3 linked regions of the Callithrix jacchus genome follow. Each later gene encodes a partner of the first gene's protein in a complex. Links are inferred from orthologs where the notes say so. Each region holds a gene or a part of one and is shown in the gene's direction. Other genes may lie near its edges.

Region 1 (6,781 bases):
AGCCGAGATTGTGCCACTGCACTCCAGCCTGGAAGACAGGGCAAGACCCTGTCTCAAAAAATAAATTAGGGGTGACGATCCAAGATGGCCGATTGCTAACATCCCGGGATTGCACCTCTCAGTGAAGGCGCTGAGAACTAGAGGACGCCACACTTTCAGACAAATTCTGGTCGTTCACCGAGCGACTGATCCCCAGTGGAGGAAACACACGGGTCGCCAGCGCAACTCTCGTGGCCGGCACAGCGGTTCCGGCCGGCACCTTGGCTCGGCAGCTCTCAGAGCAGAGTAAACAGGTTTGGAGGACCCGCACAGGTCCCCAGCACAACACCAGAGCCCGGTGTAGAGGCTGTGATGGCACCTCGGCGTGGCAGCGCTCGGCGCAGAGTAAACGGTTCCCCTTCTGACCGAGGTTTGGAGCCCCGGGAAGGCAGAGTCACCTACTACGGACACAAGAAGGAAGCCCGACAGGAGAATCCTGGGAAGAAAAGCACCATCAGTTTTAACGACGCTGCTCTGGCCCTGGGAACTAACAACCTGGACGTCCACTCAAGAGACCTAATCTGAAAGTTGGTAAATTCAAAGACGACAGGAGGATAAATTTACAATGACGGGAAGAAACCAGCGTAAAAAAGCTGAGAATACTCAAAGTCAGAATGCCTCTCCCTCTAAAGATGATCACAGTTCCACATCAACAATGGAACAAGGCTTGATGGAGAACGAGCACATCCCAATGATGACAGAAGTACTCATCAAGGAATGGATAATAACAAACTTCGGTGAGTTAAAAGAACATGTTGTAGCCCAATGTAAAGAAACTAGGAACTTTGAAAAAAGGTTTGATGAAATCCTATTGAGAATAGACAACTTAGAGAGGAGTATGAATGAATTAATGGAACTGAAGAATACAATACAGGAACTCCGAGAAGTATGCACAGGTTTAAACACTCGAATTGTTCAGGCAGAAGAAGGGATATCAGAGGTCAAAGTCCAACTTAATGAAATAAAATGTGAAGAAAAGATTAGAGAAAAAAGGATAAAAAGGAATGAACAAAGTCTCCAAGAAATGTGGGACTATGTGAAAAGACCAAATTTACGTTTGATAGGTGTACCTGAATGCGACGGAGAGAATGAATCCAAGCTGGAAAATACCCTTCAGGATATTATTCAGGAAAATTTTCCTAAACTAGCAAAGCAGGTCAATATTCAACCCCAGGTAATACAGAGAACACCACAAAGATATTCCTCAAGAAGAGCAACCCCAAGGCACATAATCATTAGATTCACCAGGGTTGAAACGAAGGAGAAATTACTAAGGGCAGCCAGAGAGAAAGGTCAGGTTACCCACAAAGGCAAGCCTGTCAGACTTACAGCAGATCTCTCAGCAGAAACTCTACAAGCCAGAAGAGAGTGGGGGCCAATATTCAACATCCTCAAAGAACAGAACCTTCAGCCCAGAATTTCATATCCAGCCAAACTAAACTTCACAACTGAAGGAAAAATAAAATCTTTTATGAACAAGCAAGAACTCAGAGATTTTATTACCACCAGGCCTGCTTTACAAGAGCTTCTGAAAGAAGCATTACACATAGAAAGAAACAACCAGTATTAGCCTTTCTCAAAATATACCAAAAAGTAAAGAGCACCAACATAAAGAAGAATTTACACCAACGAATGGATCAAACAGCGAGTTAACATCAAATGGCAGTAACCCTAAATTTAAATTGACTAAATCCCCCAATCAAAAGACACAGCCAAAACCCAACGGCATGTTACATCCAGACCCGTTTCACATGCAAGGATACACAAAGACCCAAAACAAAGGGATGGAGAAAGATTTACCAACCAAATGGAGAGCAAAAATAAATAATAAATAAATAAAAAGCAGGCATTGCAGATCTTGTATCGGATAAAATAGATTTTAAAGCAACAAAGATACAGTGGTAAAAGGATCAATGCAACAACAAAAGCTAACGATCCTAACACCCAGATACATAAAGACTTAGACTCAGTGAGACAGAAAATTAATAAGGATATCAAGGACTCGAACTCAGATCCAGAACAAGTAAACTTAATAAATATTTATAGAGCTCCCCACTTCAAATCCACAAAATATACATTCTTGTCCATACCACATCACACCTACTCATAAGTTTAAATGAAACATTGATTGGCCATTATTAATACCCATTTTTTTTAGAATAAAGCAACATTTCCATTCTCTCTCCCTCTTTTTCTTCCTCTTTCTTCCTCTCCTTCACTCCTTTTTTTTCTTTCCTTCTCTCAAAAAAAAAAAAGAAAAAAAGAAATCAACTTGTAGACCTCCAGATCCAGGTTGGCAATGTCTTTCTCATTGCCTGATTTCCTTCCTTCCCTTCTCTCCCTCCCTCCCTCACTCCCTTTCTTCCTCCCTCCCTCCCTTCCTGCCTTCCTCCCTTCCTACAAAATAAAAAAAAAAAAAAGAAAGTAAAGGTACAGGAAATGTAAATATCAGAGCAGGCACAAAGCTTAAAGCTTAATTGAAACAAGTCTGAAGGGATTATAGATGACAGTCTACCAAACTATTCAAAGTCTGTTTTTAAAAAGGGAGTTAAAACTAGCTTTCCCCAAAAGAGAGACTGTTGTTCATTGCTAATGTATAGGAGTACTACAGCATGGGACTGTTTTTGATACTACTGCTGTGGAACTAGTTTAAAGAAGACATGTCTGTAAATTTTAAGGTTGGAATGAGGCACTCTTTTTTTTTTTCTTTTCTTTTAAGGCAGAGTCTCACTCTGTCACCAGGCTGGAGTGCAGTGGCACAATCTTGGCTCACTGCAACCCCTGCCTTCCAGGTTTAAGCAATTCTCCTGCCTCAGCCTCCTAAGTAGCTGGGACTACAGGTGCACACCACCATGCTAGCTAATTTTTTTATGTTTTTAGTAGAGATGGGGTTTCGCCATGTTAGCCAAACTGGTCTCAAACTCCTGACCTCAGGTGATTGGCCTGCCTCAGCCTCCCAAAGTGCTAGGATTATAGGTGTGAGCCACTGTGCCTAGCCAAGCACTCTTAACTAAGGGAAAAGGAGAAAAGCTCACCTAGAGATAGAAGATAGCCAAATGCCCCAAATTCCATCAAACTCAAAACTTATTTTTGAGGCGGAATTAGTGGCTATCGATTGAAATAACAGAACTGTGAATTAACAACAATGACATAAACCTGTGGCCTTGAAAAAACATCTGCGACTTACTGTTGTTTACTTTTGTGAATAATTCTTCAGGGAGTTAAATTAAATCTTGCTTGCTTGCTTACTTGTTCATCGCCTTTTGAGAATGTGTTCCTTTACAAATCCTTGAAGCCTAAAATATGTTATTGTATGTAAAATACTGGTTAGGGAAATTGATTTTTCTTTTACCTCATATTGTGAACTGAAAAGCTCGATACTTTTTTTTAAAGACACACAGTTTGACATGTACTTTGTCTTACAGGCAGTGAGGTCACTCAAGGAGACAATCGAAGACTGTTGGGACCAGGATGCAGAGGCTCGGCTTACTGCACAGTGTGCTGAGGAAAGGATGGCTGAACTTATGATGATTTGGGAAAGAAACAAATCTGTGAGCCCAACAGTCAATCCAATGTCTACTGCTATGCAGAATGAACGGTAAGACCCTAAGGGGTGTGGCATCTATCAATCAGTATTAGAAACTGAGACCTAACAAAGAATAGAAAACAAATACTGTTAAACCAGCCTAATGGTTCAATGATTACCTCGTACAATCTAAAGTTATCATTTGTCTTTCAGTATTCCTATTTACTGAACATTTTTGTTTGGTATAAGTACAAAATGAAATCTGCATTTTTTTTTATATGTAAAAATATAGTGAAAGAACTTAGTATTTCTCTATGGTCTAACTTTCCTGCAATAATAAAGGTAAAACATTTTAATAACTAAAAGTTCATAAGCACTTCTATATAAATTGTCTCATTTATCCTTTGTTGTTATTATTCCTTCCTCCTCTGCTTTTTTCCTTAAGTCAATAGAACTGTGAACTTGCCTATCTAACGACTGTCACTGATGCTACCGTTTCTAGACTTTCTATCTAATACTCTTTCTTATAGAATACACTACTACTACATGAAAGCAATTCAAAGGTCTTTCTATTCCATCATGAATATTATTTTATAAGACATTTCCTTTATTAGAACTATGATTTTTGGTTTTAAATAAAGAGACTTTAAAAAAAATCACTACAATTTGGAACTTTCTACGTCTGTATTTCTTTGTTCCATGTTTGGGAGAAAAGAAAGCCTTTCTATGACTTTGTCATTTTGTCTAATACATGTTTAAAACTTTCAGAAAGGCATCCAGGAAAGCGGTACTGGCGAAAATTGAAATAAAAATACACTTGATTCTTGAAACTTTTTTGGGGGGAGGGGGAACTGAGTCTCACTCTGTCACTCAGGCTGGAGTGCAGTGGCGCAATCCTGGCTCACTGCAATCTCCCCCTCCTGGGTTCAAGAGATTCTCTTGCCTCAGCTTCCCCAGTTGCTAGGATTACAAGCATGAGCCACCTAATTACAGGCCCAACTAATTTTGTATATTTAGTAGAGATGGGATTTCACCATGTTAGCCAGGCTGATCGTGAACTCCTGACCTCTGGTGATCCACCTGCCTTGGCCTCTTAAAGTGCTGGCGTGAGCCACCGTGCCTGGCTGTGAGCCACTGTGCCTGGCCTATTTTCTGTTGTTCTAATTTGTGAAAGCTATTTATATTAGCCATAGGTAAAAAATGTGGTTTGTACTACTTTTGTATAGGTTAAATTAGTTTCAGATATAAACTTATACCTTATATATCAGCAAGTCAGGAAAGGTAGACACTGGCAATTGTAATCATAAGTTTTCTCACTTTCAACATACCTGAGGACAGTCTTCTGCTTTCATCTCCCCTCATCTCTGTATTTCCCATGTCCTCTAGTATGGTGTTTATACTTTTCTCAAAAGTCAGCTAAAGCTTTTACTTCGAATGCTTTCAAACTTTTCTTTAATGGTAAGAAAAGAAACCCTTGATGCCCCACCTTGATTTGGCCATTTTTTTGCCTCCCATGTCATTCAGCTTGACCTTCTCCATGCATCTTCTCATCTCCGGTCTCTACTAATGATTTCCCATAGTTACTCTAACTCTACGTTTTATTTTACTGAATCTTACCCTCCATGTCTCCTTAGCTTCCTTTTCTTGTACTGTTTAACAACTCTTTCTTCTTTTCCTCCTGTCATCTCCCTTATAAATAACTGTCACTCCCAAGGAATGACAATGACAGTGAAAAACCCATGATAATTAGAGAGCAGTTCTGAATCTTTGGTTCTTTATTTGAACATCACATTCTTCCTTATACCTTGGGCTCAAGGACTTTTGCTCAAATGGCTCAGACTACTCCAGAAAGATATGTGCCATTGCTAGGGCATGCCTCTTAATGGAGGCCTTTGGAACAACCTAAAAGCTTATATTCTTTTTACCATTTGGCCATTGGAAGATAATTGACAACATACCTTTTGAGTAGGTACTATGCATCTAGAATTATGGAAGTAAAAAAGAAACATATGCCATGATTCTTCCTTTCATAAAACATAATGTCTGGTTGTATGAATATACAGTTCATAAATAGATATTTTGTGATGTTATAAAACTATAGGAGAGATTTTTTAATTAACTCTTATAAACCAAAATAATGGACATTTATAAAAATCATATCTGATTCACATAAATTTTTCAGTAGGCTTTATTCATCTAAAACTAACACTTAAGTTATTAATTGATACTTGATTATTTGATTAGACTTTTTAACTAACCTTTAGAAAAATATATGTTTGGAAGAAAATGAAAAACAGCTCAGACTTTAAAATCAGAGGTGTTAAACTTGGAGAGACAGTTTGTCATAAATGTCTGTTCTCAATGTGACACTTTTTTTCTTTCTTTAAGCAACCTGTCACATAATAGGCGTGTGCCAAAAATTGGTCCTTATCCAGATTATTCTTCCTCCTCATACATTGAAGACTCTATCCATCACACTGACAGCATTGTGAAGAATATTTCCTCTGAGCATTCTATGTCCAGCACACCTTTGACTATAGGGGAAAAGAACCGAAATTCAATTAACTATGAACGACAGCAAGCACAAGCTCGAATCCCCAGCCCTGAAACAAGTGTCACCAGCCTCTCCACCAACACAACAACCACAAACACCACAGGCCTCACTCCAAGTACTGGCATGACCACTATATCTGAGATGCCATACCCAGATGAAACAAATCTGCATGCCACAAATGTTGCACAATCAATTGGGCCAACCCCTGTCTGCTTACAGCTGACAGAAGAAGACTTGGAGACCAACAAACTAGACCCAAAAGAAGTTGATAAGAACCTCAAGGAAAGCTCTGACGAGAATCTGATGGAGCATTCTCTTAAACAGTTCAGTGGGCCAGACCCACTGAGCAGTACTAGTTCTAGCTTGCTTTACCCACTCATAAAACTTGCAGTAGAAGCAACTGGACAGCAGGACTTCACACAGGCTGCAAATGGCCAAGCATGTTTAATTCCTGATGTTCTGCCTACTCAGATCTATCCTCTCCCCAAGCAACAGAACCTTCCCAAGAGACCTACTAGTTTGCCTTTAAACACCAAAAATTCAACAAAGGAGCCCCGGTTAAAATTTGGCAGCAAGCACAAATCAAACTTGAAACAAGTAGAAACTGGAGTTGCAAAGATGAATACAATCAATGCAGCAGAACCTCATGTGGTGACAGTCAC
Region 2 (7,207 bases), on another chromosome or scaffold:
CATTAAACCAAAATCAACAGCTATTAAACAAATGGACAATTAATAGCTACTAAACAAAATATGGTTCTTTCTATGGTGATAAAAAAATGGCTGTAACACTGTACATTTTAGGAGGAAAAAGAATCAGAAGATGACTAGAAACCTAAGGGAGCCTGGAGGAAAAGCCAAGTGGAAACATTGTAGCTAATCAATTAGAATCAACATAGGATAATTTAAGATAGAAACTGAGAAAGCATTCCAGTGAACTGAGTATCTCCACAGAGCCCTCTGAACAGCACAGGATGTATCAGTAATGGAACAGGGTGCGCACTGGGCAAGTCAGAAAGATACCAGTACTACCACCTCAGGGGGAGAAACATCCCCTGGGGTTGTCCACAGGGCCACTCTGGCTGTACCACGGCTGCTACTGTCACTAGTTAGGGTGGAAAATGTGATGAACCTGATTTGTCTTTCCTAATCTGTACACACAATCAACTATACCATTAAAAAATTTTTAGGACCAAGGCATTTGGCATTTTTTGTGTGCCTGGTAATGTTTGCGAAGTGTATTAGTCAGAGTTCTCTAGAGGGACAGAGATTTGACTCAACGTCCACACACACACACACACACACACACACACACACACACACACACACACATATATATGGGAGTTTATTAAGTATTAACTCACACGATCACAAGGTCCCACAATAGGCTGTGCACAAGCTGAGGAGCAAGGAGAGCCAGTCCAAGTCTCAAAATTGAAGAACTTGGAATCTGATGTTTGAGAGCAGGAAGCATCCAGCACAGGACAAAAATGTAGGCTGGGTGGTTAGGCCAGTCTAGTCTTTTCACATTTTTCTGCCTGCTTTATATTCTAGCCTCACTGGTGGCTGATTAGATGATGCCCACCCAGATTAAGGGTGGGTCTGCCTTCCCCAGCCCACTGACTCAAATGTCAATCTTCTTTGGCAACGCCCTCACAGACAAACCCAGGATCAATATTTTGCATCTTGCAATCCAATCAAGTTGACAATCAGTATTAACCATCACACCAAGCTTTTGCTGGAGCCTCTAGATGACAATTCTGATTGAGTCAGAAGGACGAAGTTGGCAGAGATGCTGGTCATATTAAGAATTCTTTGCACAGGTGGAGGACCTGAGGTACACATCCAGCTGCAAACTGCTGTCTGCCTCCTGCCTCCAGGCTGATCTGGGGATGGGTTGGCCTCTCACCATTATTGCCCATGCCCTAGTCTGGTGAAATATAAGTGGTTTAAAGGTGTGAACTGTTTTCTTTTTCATCAGAATCAGACTGCCTTGGTTCAAACAGTGGCTCCATCATCTTACAACTTTTTGGCCTCTGGCAATCTATGGAACCTTACTGACCCATATATGTGATGGAGATAGTGATAGGGTTATTGCAGGAGCATGCTAGACGATAGACGTAAAGCACTCAGTACAATGCCTGATTGTAGGAACATCTACTAAATTTTAGTTGCCACTATAATTAAGGACTTGCCCTATTTTTCAAATGCCATTTTAGCCAGATCAAATAGGTAGGAAAGAGACTATGGATCATAAAGTTTATACTTTCTTGTTTCTAAAAATGAATGCTTGGAAAAATTTATATAAATTCATTTATAGCTGAATGAAAGTTTGGACATTTGATCTGTCTTCAGAAGTATTTATTTGAGGATGTAGGCCCTACCACTCAAATTGATATGTATCACCACTGATGTGCATTATGTTGCTTCTTATACCTATTAACTGATGTGCATTATGTTGCTTCTTATACCTATTATATGTATGTGTGAAACTAAGCCTATAAAAACGGAATTTAGACATTCCTGCTGAAAGGAAGTGAATCAAAGGGAAGAGAAGCAGAGCCTTTGCAAGGAGAAAATTGTCCTATCTTTCAACCAGTGTCAGAATGTGAAAATGTTTACAAAATGCTCATTAAAAGAAATAGGGATTACAAGATAGAAACAAATTCTGGTGCACAAGTTTACACTAGGGAGATAAGAAAGGCTAGGCCCCTATAGGGGATTTTGTTATCCAATTACTGCAACCTGACTTTTAGGGGGAGAGGAAGAGTGGTAGGGGGAGGAAGAGAGAGAGGAAGAGTTTCCAAACTTGTCTCCAGTGACAGGAGACAATTACGCCCCACAAGATAAAACTGCCACTTAGAGCCCAGGAGAGCTAAACCTTCCTGGCTTGGCCTAGGGGCTTGAGCGGAGTCATGGGCTCTCCGGTCCTGACACTGTGCACTCTTCTCTGCCTGGTGGCTCACTTGGTTTCTGGCAGCCCCATCATGAGCCTAGACCAGTCTCCTCTAGAAGAAGATGTGCCCCTCTTTGATGATGTTTTCTCAGAGCAAGATGGTGTTGACTTTAGCACATTGCTCCAGAGCATGAAGAATGAGTTTCTCAAGACACTAAACCTGTCTGACATCCCCACGGAGGATTCAGCCAAGGTAGACCCACCAGAGTACATGCTGGAACTCTATAACAAATTTGCAACAGATCGAACCTCCATGCCCTCTGCCAACATCATTAGGAGTTTCAAGAATGAAGGTAAGTTTTTGCTGATGAAATTTGGCTTGGAATTTTTTCAAGACACAATAAGTAAATTTACAATGCCTGGGAATGATATAGGTAAAGGTAAATACATCTATATAAGGATGTTAAATACATATGGATACACAAAAACAAGGTACGATTTGGTCTATACTATTTATGCAGTCATTTCAGAACCTCAAAAATACTTACAAACATCTTTTACAAACAACCCAAAGCCACAAAACACCTATCAATTTGACATTATAATTGGGTTCTTTTAAAAAATGTTAATTTGAACACCAAGTAATACAAAGCATTAATGTTGCCGTATCTTTGCCATTTTCCAGATAGGCCTTGGTTGCCTAGGTGTTTAATTAACTAAAAAATTTCTCAACTTCCACTTAGAATAAAAAGAATAAAAACAGTCAAAAAACATCAAGTTGTGATGTGTGTTTTGTTCAAACTTTTGATGTTTTTATTTTGTGATGTTGTTTAAGAAATGTTCAAACAGTATGGAAATATATTTTAGAGATTCTTCCTAAGGCTGTGTTGTTTGATGTGTCATGTACATCCTTAAAGCACTGTTTACAGTTTCCAGGAAGTGTGATTGGCCCATTAATCATCCAGCTCATCATTTCCATCTTCATGAAGAGTGATGTACAAGATTGAATTATTGGTGAGAAAAGTGTGTTTTCTTCTCCTAGGTGTTTAAATTTGGTAGCTAAATCTAATGAGTTAATTTTTTTTCTTAATAGCTTAATTTGATCCTATCAGGGGAAAGAAAATCCTGATATCTAGATACCTATGATAGAAGCTGAAGGTCCAAATAACTAATTCTTTAATATTTGCCAATTATACCATTATAGTCACTAACCAGGTACAAAAGAGGCTTCTGATTAATATTGGCCAGATGTTCTTGAAAGAAGAAAGGCAGTGGTGAAGAAACAGCTCAGGATATGGAATTTTGAGAGCTGGTTGGCTTAGTGGTTGTGAATAATTAGCTCATGTCTCAGACTCTCAATTTCCTCATCTGTAAAGCGGGGGTAATAATACCTGCATAAAAAAGTTGAGTGATTCAAAAGAGGTTACAGGTAAGAAAGTACTCCATTTGCTATGAAGTGCTGATCAAACTTCAGTGATTACTAATGAGTTACTTAATATTCTAGCTGCTGGAATAAATGCTGAGTGGGTATTCCTTAGTCCCTAAGATGTTGTTTGCCTTTAAAATTGAGTTGGCCGCCAAAAGTTCTATTTCATAACATCTTTCTCATGGAAATGGCAAGCTGAGATTACAGATTCCTTTTGGAGGTGAGTCTGAATTGAAAATGAATAACCTCCTCCTGTGAGAATCCCCCCCACCCCAATACTTCTCAAAACTGAGCCCTAAGTGTCTGGTTCAGGTGAACTAGGGTATGGGTGAGAAAATGTTATTTGCATCCCCAGAAAAGTAGAAAAGTTTTCAGTTCCTACTTCTCTCAAAGAGTATCTGGATAACTCAGGTCAGTATCTGGAGTTTACTGTACTTATTAATCCTGGAGATTATTGAGGGCAGGAACACATCTCCAGTAAACAACTGTGCAGCCTGAGGACAGAAATCACTGCACAGGGCATGCCTTGCTAGCTACTATTGCCTCTTTTCTGACTCTTTGGGTCTGCTTAATGCAGCTCCCTAGGAGACAAAGACAAAAAAAAAAAAAAGTCAAAACCTATCTCATCTTGGGAAAAAAGTGCCACCTCCAATGTGAAAAAAGCATGCCCTCAATTCCTAGCACTGTTCCTTTATCACCTTGTCATCTGGGGAAGTCAGTTCTCTGCATCAGGGCTTGATTTCTTCTGGTGCAAAATGGGTAGAGAATCAATACCTGCATTGTGGGGTCATTGTGAGAACCAGAGAAGATCATGCTTGCAAAGCACCTGGCATGAGAAATTTGTCAACAAACATTAGTTCTCTTGCCCTGAAATGTAACTCTTCCATTTACTGCTTACTGCATTTGCACATTCACAAAACTTCCCAGTGAACTTACTTTTTCAAAACAGTTTTATTGAGGCATAATTTACTTATAGAAAATAAGACATATAAAAATATTGATGTATAAAAGTATAATTGTACATATTTAAAGTGTATAATTGGAAAGGTTTTGACCTCTGTAAACATTCATTGAAATCATCAGCACAATCAAGATCATGAATTTATCCATTAGCACCAAAAGCTTCCTTGTATGCTTTACTGCCTTCCTCCTACTACAGTGAGCTTTTATTCTATACTTCTCTCCTGGGTAGAACAACCAGCCTATTCCTCCATTTTGGGTCTTCTCATGTTCCCTGTCCATGGGGAGACAAGTCTCCTCCCTTCTTAGACTGGGAGAATAAATCCTAAGCCACTGACTTAAGAGCTTGATGATGGATTAAGGTCATATGTCATGCCCATAAATCAATTTAATCTGATGCCTAAAATCATCAGCTAATCAATATTTTTAAAGCACTACCTCTGTTTAAGCCCTTATAGTAGGATAGAGACATAGAAGGGAGTTTTGAGCCATTCATACCAGGAGGATGGGAGTCTAGTTGGGAAAATCCATTCATAAAAAGATGACTGAAATACAAGGTTGTAAATGACAAGGATCAAAGGAGATATAAAGTGCTCAAGTGATTCAGAGGGGAGGGAGGGAACTTTCAGAAAGAGAAGTAAGGAAGGGAGGCTTTTATAGATGTCAGAGTTGGATAGGTGGAGGTGAGGTGAAAGGGCTTTCCAAGGGTCAGAAGAACATGTGAAAAGGTGAAAATTACAGGGGAAAAAAGAATGTTTGACAGGTGGTAAAGATGTCAATGTAGTTGAAACAGAAGGGTTTACAAATCCATTCAATTGTTCACAAATATTATTGAGTGATCACAATGTTCCATGCATTTATGGAAGCCATGGCTGATCTGGAGGCTAAGACCCAGATATAGCTGACCTTGAGAGCCATGCCAGGGAGTTTAAATTCATTCAGTAGGTTAGCATTTCCCACTGACAATGTGTAAGATGATTTTAGGTGGTACCCATAGAAAGCTATTAATTATGTGAAATCATTTCATGTGGATTTTAGCAAACACACATAAGTATCACCTCAAATCTCTCCTTTTATGAATGATGTTGCTTAGGATAAGTCTAAAATAGATAATAAGTGCAAAATAATCAGAGCAAGTTAAAGGAAAATATTAAAAGATTATAATCTGCAACAGGGACTCACTGAGATCATGAATTAAGTATATACTTGGTGAAATGCTGCCAAAGATGACAGAGAATTTCTAAATTGGTGGTCCTTAGCATCTTTGGTGCTGTGGATCCCTTTGAGAATCTGATGGCAAATGCCTTCAGGGCTTCCTTATATGCTCATTACCTGAGACAAGTATGCAGAAGCTTTGGGCTCACTGTAACTTCAGATAGGAAGTCAACATGACAGTATTTGGAGGTATGCTTCCAAGACTAAGATTAGAAGTGTGCTTCTAAGACTTTTACAGAGTTGTTTCATAAACATTCTTGAGTGAGTTGTATGTACCATACTTCATGCCAGGTGCTAGGGGTATAAGAGTAGTGCTAGGGGTATAAGACTAAGGCAACCACTCTAGTTCCAGGATTCATTTTCTCCCATTCCTCTTTACAGAGGACCATATACTCAAAATCGACTGCTGTGACCTTCTTGGTTTATGGCTGTCTTATTGACCTTGTCAGGTTTTGTTGCTGAGAACAGAAGTCAGCAAGCTTATTCTGTAAAGGGTCAGACAGATAATAACTATTTTAAGCTTTGAAGGCCATATGCTCTCTGTTGTGACTATTGAACTCTGCCATTGTAGTGCAAAAGTAGCCATAGACAATACAAAAACAATGTATGAGGCTGTGTTCCAATAAAACTTTACCCAAAAGCAGGTACCAGGCTAATTTTGGCCCATAGGCTATAAGTTACCAAACTCTGATACATATGGAAGCCTTTTAGGAAGACCAGTGCCCAGCTAACTATGTAGGGATCTCCACCCACTACAAACACAAAAATTAAAACACCATGGGGTCCTCATCCCTGACAAGAAAAGAACAATCACCACATGTCCCATTTGGTGGCTCTTTGTTGGTTAGGAAATTTGGGGACTTGCCCACACAATTTCCAAGGTCCCTCTCAGTTCTGTAATTCTGTGGCTGATGAGCTACTCAAAAGCAAGGCTGGCTAAGTTTTATCCCATCCATTAGACCCATACTTTCCATTTTAGTCTTGGCAGCTGAACTCTTTTGGGCATTCTACCACCAACCTTCTGGGATTTCCTGTGTCACAGAATGTTGACATTGTGTTTGTTCTCATTGATCTTCTCCCTTCATTCTTTCTGCATTAAGCTTAATGCATGGGAAGGCCTTCTTATTACATAAATAAGCATCTGTTTTTCTCTGAGACCCACTGCAAATCTGATTTTTGCAAATTTCTTTTTTTCAGATCTGTTTTCCCAACCAGCCAGTTTTAATGGGCTCCGAAAATATCCTCTCCTCTTCAATGTGTCCATTCCTCATCATGAAGAGGTCATCATGGCTGAACTTAGGCTGTACACACTGGTACAAAGGGATCGTATGATATACAATGTTGTAGACCAAAGAATTACCATCTTTGAAGTGCTGGAGAGCAAAGGGGATAATGAGGGAGAT
Region 3 (6,429 bases), about 19 Mb from region 1:
TGTGTGGGCACCGGAATCGGGCGGAAGGCAGGCTTCTCAACAGGTCCATCATTTACACAGAGAAAGCCGCGGCTCGGGGACAGCCGGGTGCCTTTCGGCTAGCCTGGCAGCTGCAGCAGACCCCTCGCCCGAGAGGCACAGAGTCGTAGTTAACAAAGGGGTTGGCTCCTTTCTGGAATCCCCCCACCCACCCTAAGGCCCCAGATTGCAAATCCCTAACACTGTCTAAATATAAAAATCAGAGAGAGAAAAATCTTTCGGAACTTTAAAAGAAGGAGAAAAATGTGCCCGCGCCAAAATGCTGCAAGTGCTTTCGACTCCGCTGTCCTTTTCAGGACTTGAATGAGCCAGGCTGGCTTTTGTGCCTGGAGCTCGGCCCCATTTGTGCTGAGGGGACTGCGGAGAAGGTCGCAGAGGGGGAAGCCCCGGTGCAGTCAGGGCGGGGGCAAGCGGGGAGCCTGGGTGGGGGAGCAGTTGTGCCCCTAGCTGCAGATGCCCCCCCCCCACACCCCCAGGCAGCAGGCAGCCTGGGGATGAAAAGGGATGAAAAGTTTTGCATGGCCGGGTGTGGAGAAAAGCAGAGACAATCGGGGCTGGTTTGTGCTTAGAAAGAAATGCATTGCCGTTTTAGCTGTCCACTAAAGTGAGTCAGGGAAAGCTCGCCATGCAATTAGAGGGCTCGGATTAAAAGGTGCTTTGGGGCCCAGAGTTAGAAATGTGATTCTGGAAGGTCGAGGAGGCCTTTTGGTCCCGGTGGCACAAAATGACAGCGGGGGCTGTTATATTTCTGGTCCGTTTCACGGAGCCAGCTCTTTGACTTATAAATAACAGATTCAGGTCACAGGCAGCTCGTCCAAGACCAGCTTTTAAGGCCGCAGTTTCCCCCATTTCAAAGTCAGATGTCAGTGTTATTAGAGGAGCCAGGCGAGGCCTGAGATGGGGGCTTGGGAGGGGCATGGTGGGAGGTTTGATAAAACCAGCCCTGGCCACAGAGTTTCGTTATTTGTTCTTCGTGGAAAAAATAAAAAAAGAAAAGAAAAACGTAGATTGTCAGAGGGAAGGGTCATGGAAAAGTAGGATGAGAGGGGAGGCATCTCTTGATTGGCACAGCTTTCTTCTTGTTAAGCTGGATTATTGAGAAAATTAACAAGCCAGCTCCCCTATTCCTTGGAGATTTTGAACGTGCCATTAACGGGGAGCCAGAGTCTTGTCAAAGGATTGGACCTCAAGTTTCAAGGCTGAATGTCCTGTCCCTTGGAACTACTCGGAAACAAGGGCCAGGCTCTGCAGCCTGCAAAGCACACGTCCCTGTGTCAGAAACCTGAGTAGAGCTGCTTGTTTGCAATGGAGGTTCCACTGGGGGTTGGATCAGATCGTACTTAGGTAAACACTGGAAAGAGGCGGTAGGTGGCTCAGCTTGATTTTGCAATGCATTAAGTTAACCAAAAAAAAAAAAAAAAAAAAAGCCCTACTAAAACCACCCACCCCTGCGATCCTGGTTTTGTTTTTCAGATTTCACAGATACCCATAACAACTTGTTAAGATCTTGGCCCCCTGACAAGTTCTTCTGTTGTTCTTTGAGGCCTGACAGCCTGTCTCCAGGGAGCCCTGGCCTGGGAGAGGTGAGGCAGGATTTTATAGGCCTGGACCCTCCAGCCCCAACCTGGTCCGGGTTTCTCAATGGGAAACAATTTTCTCTGCCTCTCCCAGGTTACAGTCAGAGGCCCTGGCCCCAAGAACGGTATTTCTGGTTAATAACGTTTTCCAGCTGTGTGGCGAGTTGCATTCCAGCATCCTGCAGCAGAGAGTGTGTTTCCCCCATAGCCTCGTGTTCTCCTTGAGTTAACTTGGCCTGCTCTTCCCCTTTTCTGCAGATGGCCTCGCTTCCTCGCGGGTCCGCCTGTACTTCTTCATCTCCAATGAAGGCAACCAGAACCTGTTTGTGGTCCAGGCCAGCCTGTGGCTTTACCTGAAACTCCTGCCCTACGTCCTGGAGAAGGGCAGCCGGCGGAAGGTTCGGGTCAAAGTGTACTTCCAGGAGCAGGGCCACGGTGACAGGTGGAACGTGGTGGAGAAGAGGGTGGACCTCAAGCGCAGCGGCTGGCACACCTTCCCACTCACAGAGGCCATCCAGGCCTTGTTTGAACGGGGCGAGCGGCGACTCAACCTGGACGTGCAGTGTGACAGCTGCCAGGAGCTGGCCGTGGTGCCGGTGTTCGTGGACCCAGGGGAAGAGTCACACAGGCCCTTTGTGGTAGTGCAGGCTCGGCTGGGCGACAGCAGGCACCGCATTCGAAAGCGAGGCCTGGAGTGCGATGGCCGGACCAACCTCTGTTGCAGGCAACAGTTCTTCATTGACTTCCGCCTCATCGGCTGGAATGACTGGATCATCGCACCCACCGGCTACTATGGGAACTACTGTGAGGGCAGCTGCCCAGCCTATCTGGCAGGGGTCCCCGGCTCTGCCTCCTCTTTCCACACGGCTGTGGTGAACCAGTACCGCATGCGGGGCCTGAACCCCGGCACAGTGAACTCCTGCTGCATCCCCACCAAGTTGAGCACCATGTCCATGCTGTACTTTGATGATGAGTACAACATCGTCAAGCGGGACGTGCCCAACATGATTGTGGAGGAGTGCGGCTGTGCCTGACAGTGCAGGGTGGGGGCACGGTGCTGGGGCGAGGAGGACAGTCCTGGGTGGGCTTCTTCCAGCCCCCGCGGGAACGGGGGTGCACGGTGGGCTGGGCACAGTCATTCTGTTGGGCTGTGGAGAAGGTGCCAGGGTGCGGCCTGAGATATTCTTCTACGACTTCATAGAGCAAACAGTCAAAACCAGAGCGAGAACCCTCAACTGACATGAAATACTTTAAAATGCACACGTAGCCACGCACAGCCAGACGCATCCTGCCACCCACACAGCAGCCTCTAGGATACCAGCAAATGGATGCGGTGACAAATGGCAGCTTAGCTACAAATGCCTGTCAGTTGGAGAGAATGGGGTGAGCAGCCACCATTCCCACCAGCTGGCCTGGCCACTCTGAATTGCGCCTTCCGAGCACACATAAAAGCACAAAGACAGAGACACACACAGAGAGAGAGAGAGCCACGGAGAGGAAAAGCAGATGCAAGGGTGGGGAGCGCGGCCAGGCAGAGGCTGTGTGTGCCCCGTGGCTTTCACCAGGCCTGCTCTGCCACCACATCTCCGGCTCAATATCTGCTTCTTCCCCAGCCTGGGATCCTTCGTGCTTCAAGACCAAGAGAGCCTGTCCTCCCACACCCTTGCCAAGGGAAAGAGACCCAGAAAGGACATAACCCATCAGAGACCGGGGAGCAGGGGCAAGTGACTGTTCGTCGATTGGGCCTCTGACTTGACTTATGTGTGTTTTTTTGGAGTGGGGAGGGAGGGAGAGAAGAGGGGGCTAAATTTAATGCTTTAACTGATCTCCAACGATTGACAGGTCATCCTTGCCAGTTGTATAACTGAAAAAGGACTTTTCTACCAGGTATGACCTTTGAAGTGAAAATCTGAATTGTTCTAAATGGAAAGGAAAAAAGTTGCAATCTGTGCCCTTCACTGGGGACATTCCTTTAGGACTGTTTTGGGGAGGGGTGGGAATGACCCCTAGGCAAGGGGATGAGACCACAGGGGGAAACGGTGGGGAGGAGGCATTCTTGAACTGCTGAGGGTGGAGGGTGCCCCTTCAGCAGAGGCTGAGGGAAGGGAGCAGCTTAGTTGGTCTTGGAGAGATGGGGAAGGCTTTCAGCTGATTTGTAGAAGTTGCCCATGTGGGCCCCAGCCATCAGGGCCGGCCATGGACGTGGCCCCTGCCCACCTGCCTGCCCGCATAGCACTTGCAGACCTGCCTGAAGGCACATGACACAGCACTTGCCGATCCACGTGTGTCCAGAAGTGGCCCTTGGCTGAGCACCGAACTCGCTCGCCCTCTAGATGTCCAAGTGCCACGTGAACTATGCAATTTAAAGGGTTGACCCACACTAGATGAAACTGGACTCGTACGACTCTTTTTATATTTTTTATACTTGAAATGAAATCCTTTGCTTCTTTTTTAAGCGAATGATTGCTTTTAATGTTTGCACTGATTTAGTTGCATGATTAGTCAGAAACTGCCATTTGAAAAAAGAAGTTATTTTTATAGCAGCAAAAAAATGAATACAGTTAAATGTATTATACATAATTTTGGAACCAAAGAGGCCAACAGATCAGTTTTAATTTTATTAGACGGTGAGGCCATCTGATGTGAGGTGGACGTTCTGAACGGTCCCTTGAGTGGCCTGCCAACGTTTCAGGGTATGAATGGATTTTGTTTATTCGGTTCGATGTGTCTTTTCTATCCTTACACACCCAGAAGGTAGAGTAAAAATGGCTATGATAGAATGCAGGTGTGTATCCTTAAATCCCCATCTTTATGTTTATTTAATAAAGCTCCCCTTAGGTTCTGTTTCATAATAATTTAAAACCAAACAATTTTCCCATAGACTTGCTGTTAAAGTATTTTACGTTTGTGTACAGTTTAAGAAAATAAAAGATTGAGTGCCACGGGCCTCCTGCCTTGTGTGATGTCTGGGTCAGGGAGGCCTGGGCTGGAGGTGGGCAGCTGGGAGGAAGGCCAGTCCAGGTGTCCTTGGATGCCAGCAATCTCCTTGGCCTGCTCCTGGCATCTCTGCTTCCTTGCCACGAGATGGATGTCAGGCAGAGATTCCAGGAAAAATGGCAGAAGATCAAAATGAAGGACAATTAGCAAATTCATGAATTACACATTTGTTTACCCTTCTAGTCCCAAGACTGATTACGTTTCACCAAGGCCACATTCATTACCATTTGAAAGTGCTGGGTAAGCCCCCAGCCCCAGATGGAGCTGTAAAACCCTAAAGGCTGAGGTCTAGCTGACCTCCGCTCACCTCTATTTACAGGTGACTGGGACCCAGAAGAGTATTTGGGATAGAAGGGTAAACAGAGTCAGGCTGTGAGTGTGGGAATGAGGCCTTCCTGAGGGGGCTGAGTGGTGGAGAGTGGTGGTAGGGGCAGTGTAGTAACGACGGCCGCTGCGCAGGTCTGAGATACCTGCCGAGTCCTGTTACCGTGCAGCATCGTGCCTTTGTGGAAAGTGGCTTTGTCTGCATTTCCCAGATTTGGGAAAGTCTGAGGCTTAGAGCGTTCAGAGCCTGCCTGAGGTTACAGCCAGGACAGGGACCCTGCACATTTGAGCCCACCTGTTTCCCTGGAGGACTGCAGCCGTGTGCCCTTGACTTCCGCTGAGGCCCTGCAGGGCTGCTGGGGCTCTACCTTGGGGTTTGGGTAGCATGAGGTCTTCCCAGAGCTCAGGACATTTGAGCACGTGGGACTTTAAGGGATCATCTAACCTCATCAAGGTAGTGGGAAACTGAGGGAAGCCCAGATGGCTAAAGGGCGTAGCTCAATCGGCACAGCCAGCTGGTGGCAGGAGGCAGCCTCTAACCTCTGTCTTTTTCCATTCTTTGCCCAAACAAGGGAGCTACTGCCCTGCCAGGCTTTTGGCCTGAGGGCAGGATTGGTCATCTGGGAAGCGGTGAAACAGTATTACTGTAATTCACAGGGGAAAGAAGAAAGTGTCGCAAAGACAGTTCTGGCCTCTGCGTTTCAGGCAGTGAGTCACGGCCTCTCTGCCCTCTACTCTGCTAGGGCTGGATGTAGCTGCTGGCGGCACCAGGCCCCCCGCCCAGCCCTGCCTCCCTGCTGCCCTGGGACTTTTCTCAGGTAGTGGCCAGGAGGTGCAAGATGACTCACTGAGGTGCTTCTGCTGTTTGAACATTGAGCACCTACCCAGGCCTTTCCAGGCTGAGCATCACAGGATGGCCCCACAAGTCTTGAAGTAGCCCCAGGAAGAGCCTGGGAACCCCAGGGGCACAAGGCCTTGGTGCTTGCTGACCTGGTCCCTGAGTGACTCTGCTGCCCTATGCTGGCACCTGTTCCTGTGGGGTCTGGCCTGGGGCCACTGGTGGACAGCAGTTCCTATTTCTGAGAGAGGCAGTGAGGACAGGCACTGGCGCCGTCTCCGCTGGACGTCCCCACACCAGCAGGGTCTCCTGTGCTGCTGTGGTCACTGCTCTCCTTGCTCTGTTCCCCCTACTCAATGCTCCAGCCTCTTCCGTCTGCTCTTATTTCCCCAGTGGTCCAGCCTGAGGGCCCTGCCTCTCTCTGAAAATGTCACCGGAGCCCAGCTCTGCCCCCAGGTCCACTGCCTCTGGCTGAACTCTCCGATGCTGGACTTCAAGGTCCCCAGCCTTCCTTCTTTTCAGTCCTCCCTGCCTCTTCTGGCTTCCAGGCTGCTGGCTTCTCATACTCATCCCCAGCCCAACCTGGGACCAGTGGGACAGAAGGGGCCTGCCTGAGCTGGAAGGCTGCTGTCCCCACCCACCTCAAATGTCTCC

The links.
Region 2: the proteins of BMPR2 (region 1) and BMP10 are in contact, whole or in part, in a crystal structure (PDB 7PPA), measured with the Homo sapiens proteins. The link is inferred for Callithrix jacchus from reciprocal best matches to the Homo sapiens genes BMPR2 and BMP10. Residues at the interface, in NP_001195.2 of Homo sapiens: Asp38, Ser64, Tyr67, Leu69, Lys81, Cys84, Trp85, Ser86, Ile88, Gly89, Asp90, Pro91, Gln92, Glu93, Thr103, Thr104, Pro105, Pro106, Ile108, Tyr113, Phe115; in NP_055297.1 of Homo sapiens: Tyr329, Lys333, Asp338, Ser339, Trp340, Ile342, Ala343, Pro344, Pro345, Gly346, Tyr347, Glu348, Glu395, Pro396, Ile397, Ser398, Ile399, Leu400, Leu402, Val407, Tyr409, Phe411, Ala417.
Region 3: the proteins of BMPR2 (region 1) and INHBB are in contact, whole or in part, in a crystal structure (PDB 7U5O), measured with the Homo sapiens proteins. The link is inferred for Callithrix jacchus from reciprocal best matches to the Homo sapiens genes BMPR2 and INHBB. Residues at the interface, in NP_001195.2 of Homo sapiens: Tyr40, Tyr67, Leu69, Val80, Lys81, Trp85, Ser86, His87, Ile88, Gly89, Asp90, Gln92, Ile108, Gln109, Tyr113, Phe115; in NP_002184.2 of Homo sapiens: Phe309, Asn318, Asp319, Ile322, Ala323, Pro324, Gly326, Tyr327, Tyr328, Thr379, Met380, Ser381, Met382, Leu383, Phe385, Asp386, Asn390, Ile391, Val392, Lys393, Asp395, Ile400.

The regions. Positions count from the first base shown.
Region 1 is NC_133507.1:123,697,620-123,704,400, forward strand, and holds part of BMPR2 (bone morphogenetic protein receptor type-2), read left to right. Parts: intron 1-3,464; coding exon 3,465-3,637; intron 3,638-5,953; coding exon 5,954-6,781. UniProt on the Homo sapiens protein: On ligand binding, forms a receptor complex consisting of two type II and two type I transmembrane serine/threonine kinases.
Region 2 is NC_133515.1:45,061,975-45,069,181, forward strand, and holds the start of BMP10 (bone morphogenetic protein 10), read left to right. Parts: upstream 1-2,184; 5' UTR 2,185-2,222; coding exon 2,223-2,556; intron 2,557-7,001; coding exon 7,002-7,207. UniProt on the Homo sapiens protein: Required for maintaining the proliferative activity of embryonic cardiomyocytes by preventing premature activation of the negative cell cycle regulator CDKN1C/p57KIP and maintaining the required expression levels of cardiogenic factors such as MEF2C and NKX2-5.
Region 3 is NC_133507.1:104,926,981-104,933,409, forward strand, and holds the end of INHBB (inhibin beta B chain), read left to right. Parts: intron 1-1,874; coding exon 1,875-2,650; 3' UTR 2,651-4,563; downstream 4,564-6,429. UniProt on the Homo sapiens protein: Inhibins and activins inhibit and activate, respectively, the secretion of follitropin by the pituitary gland.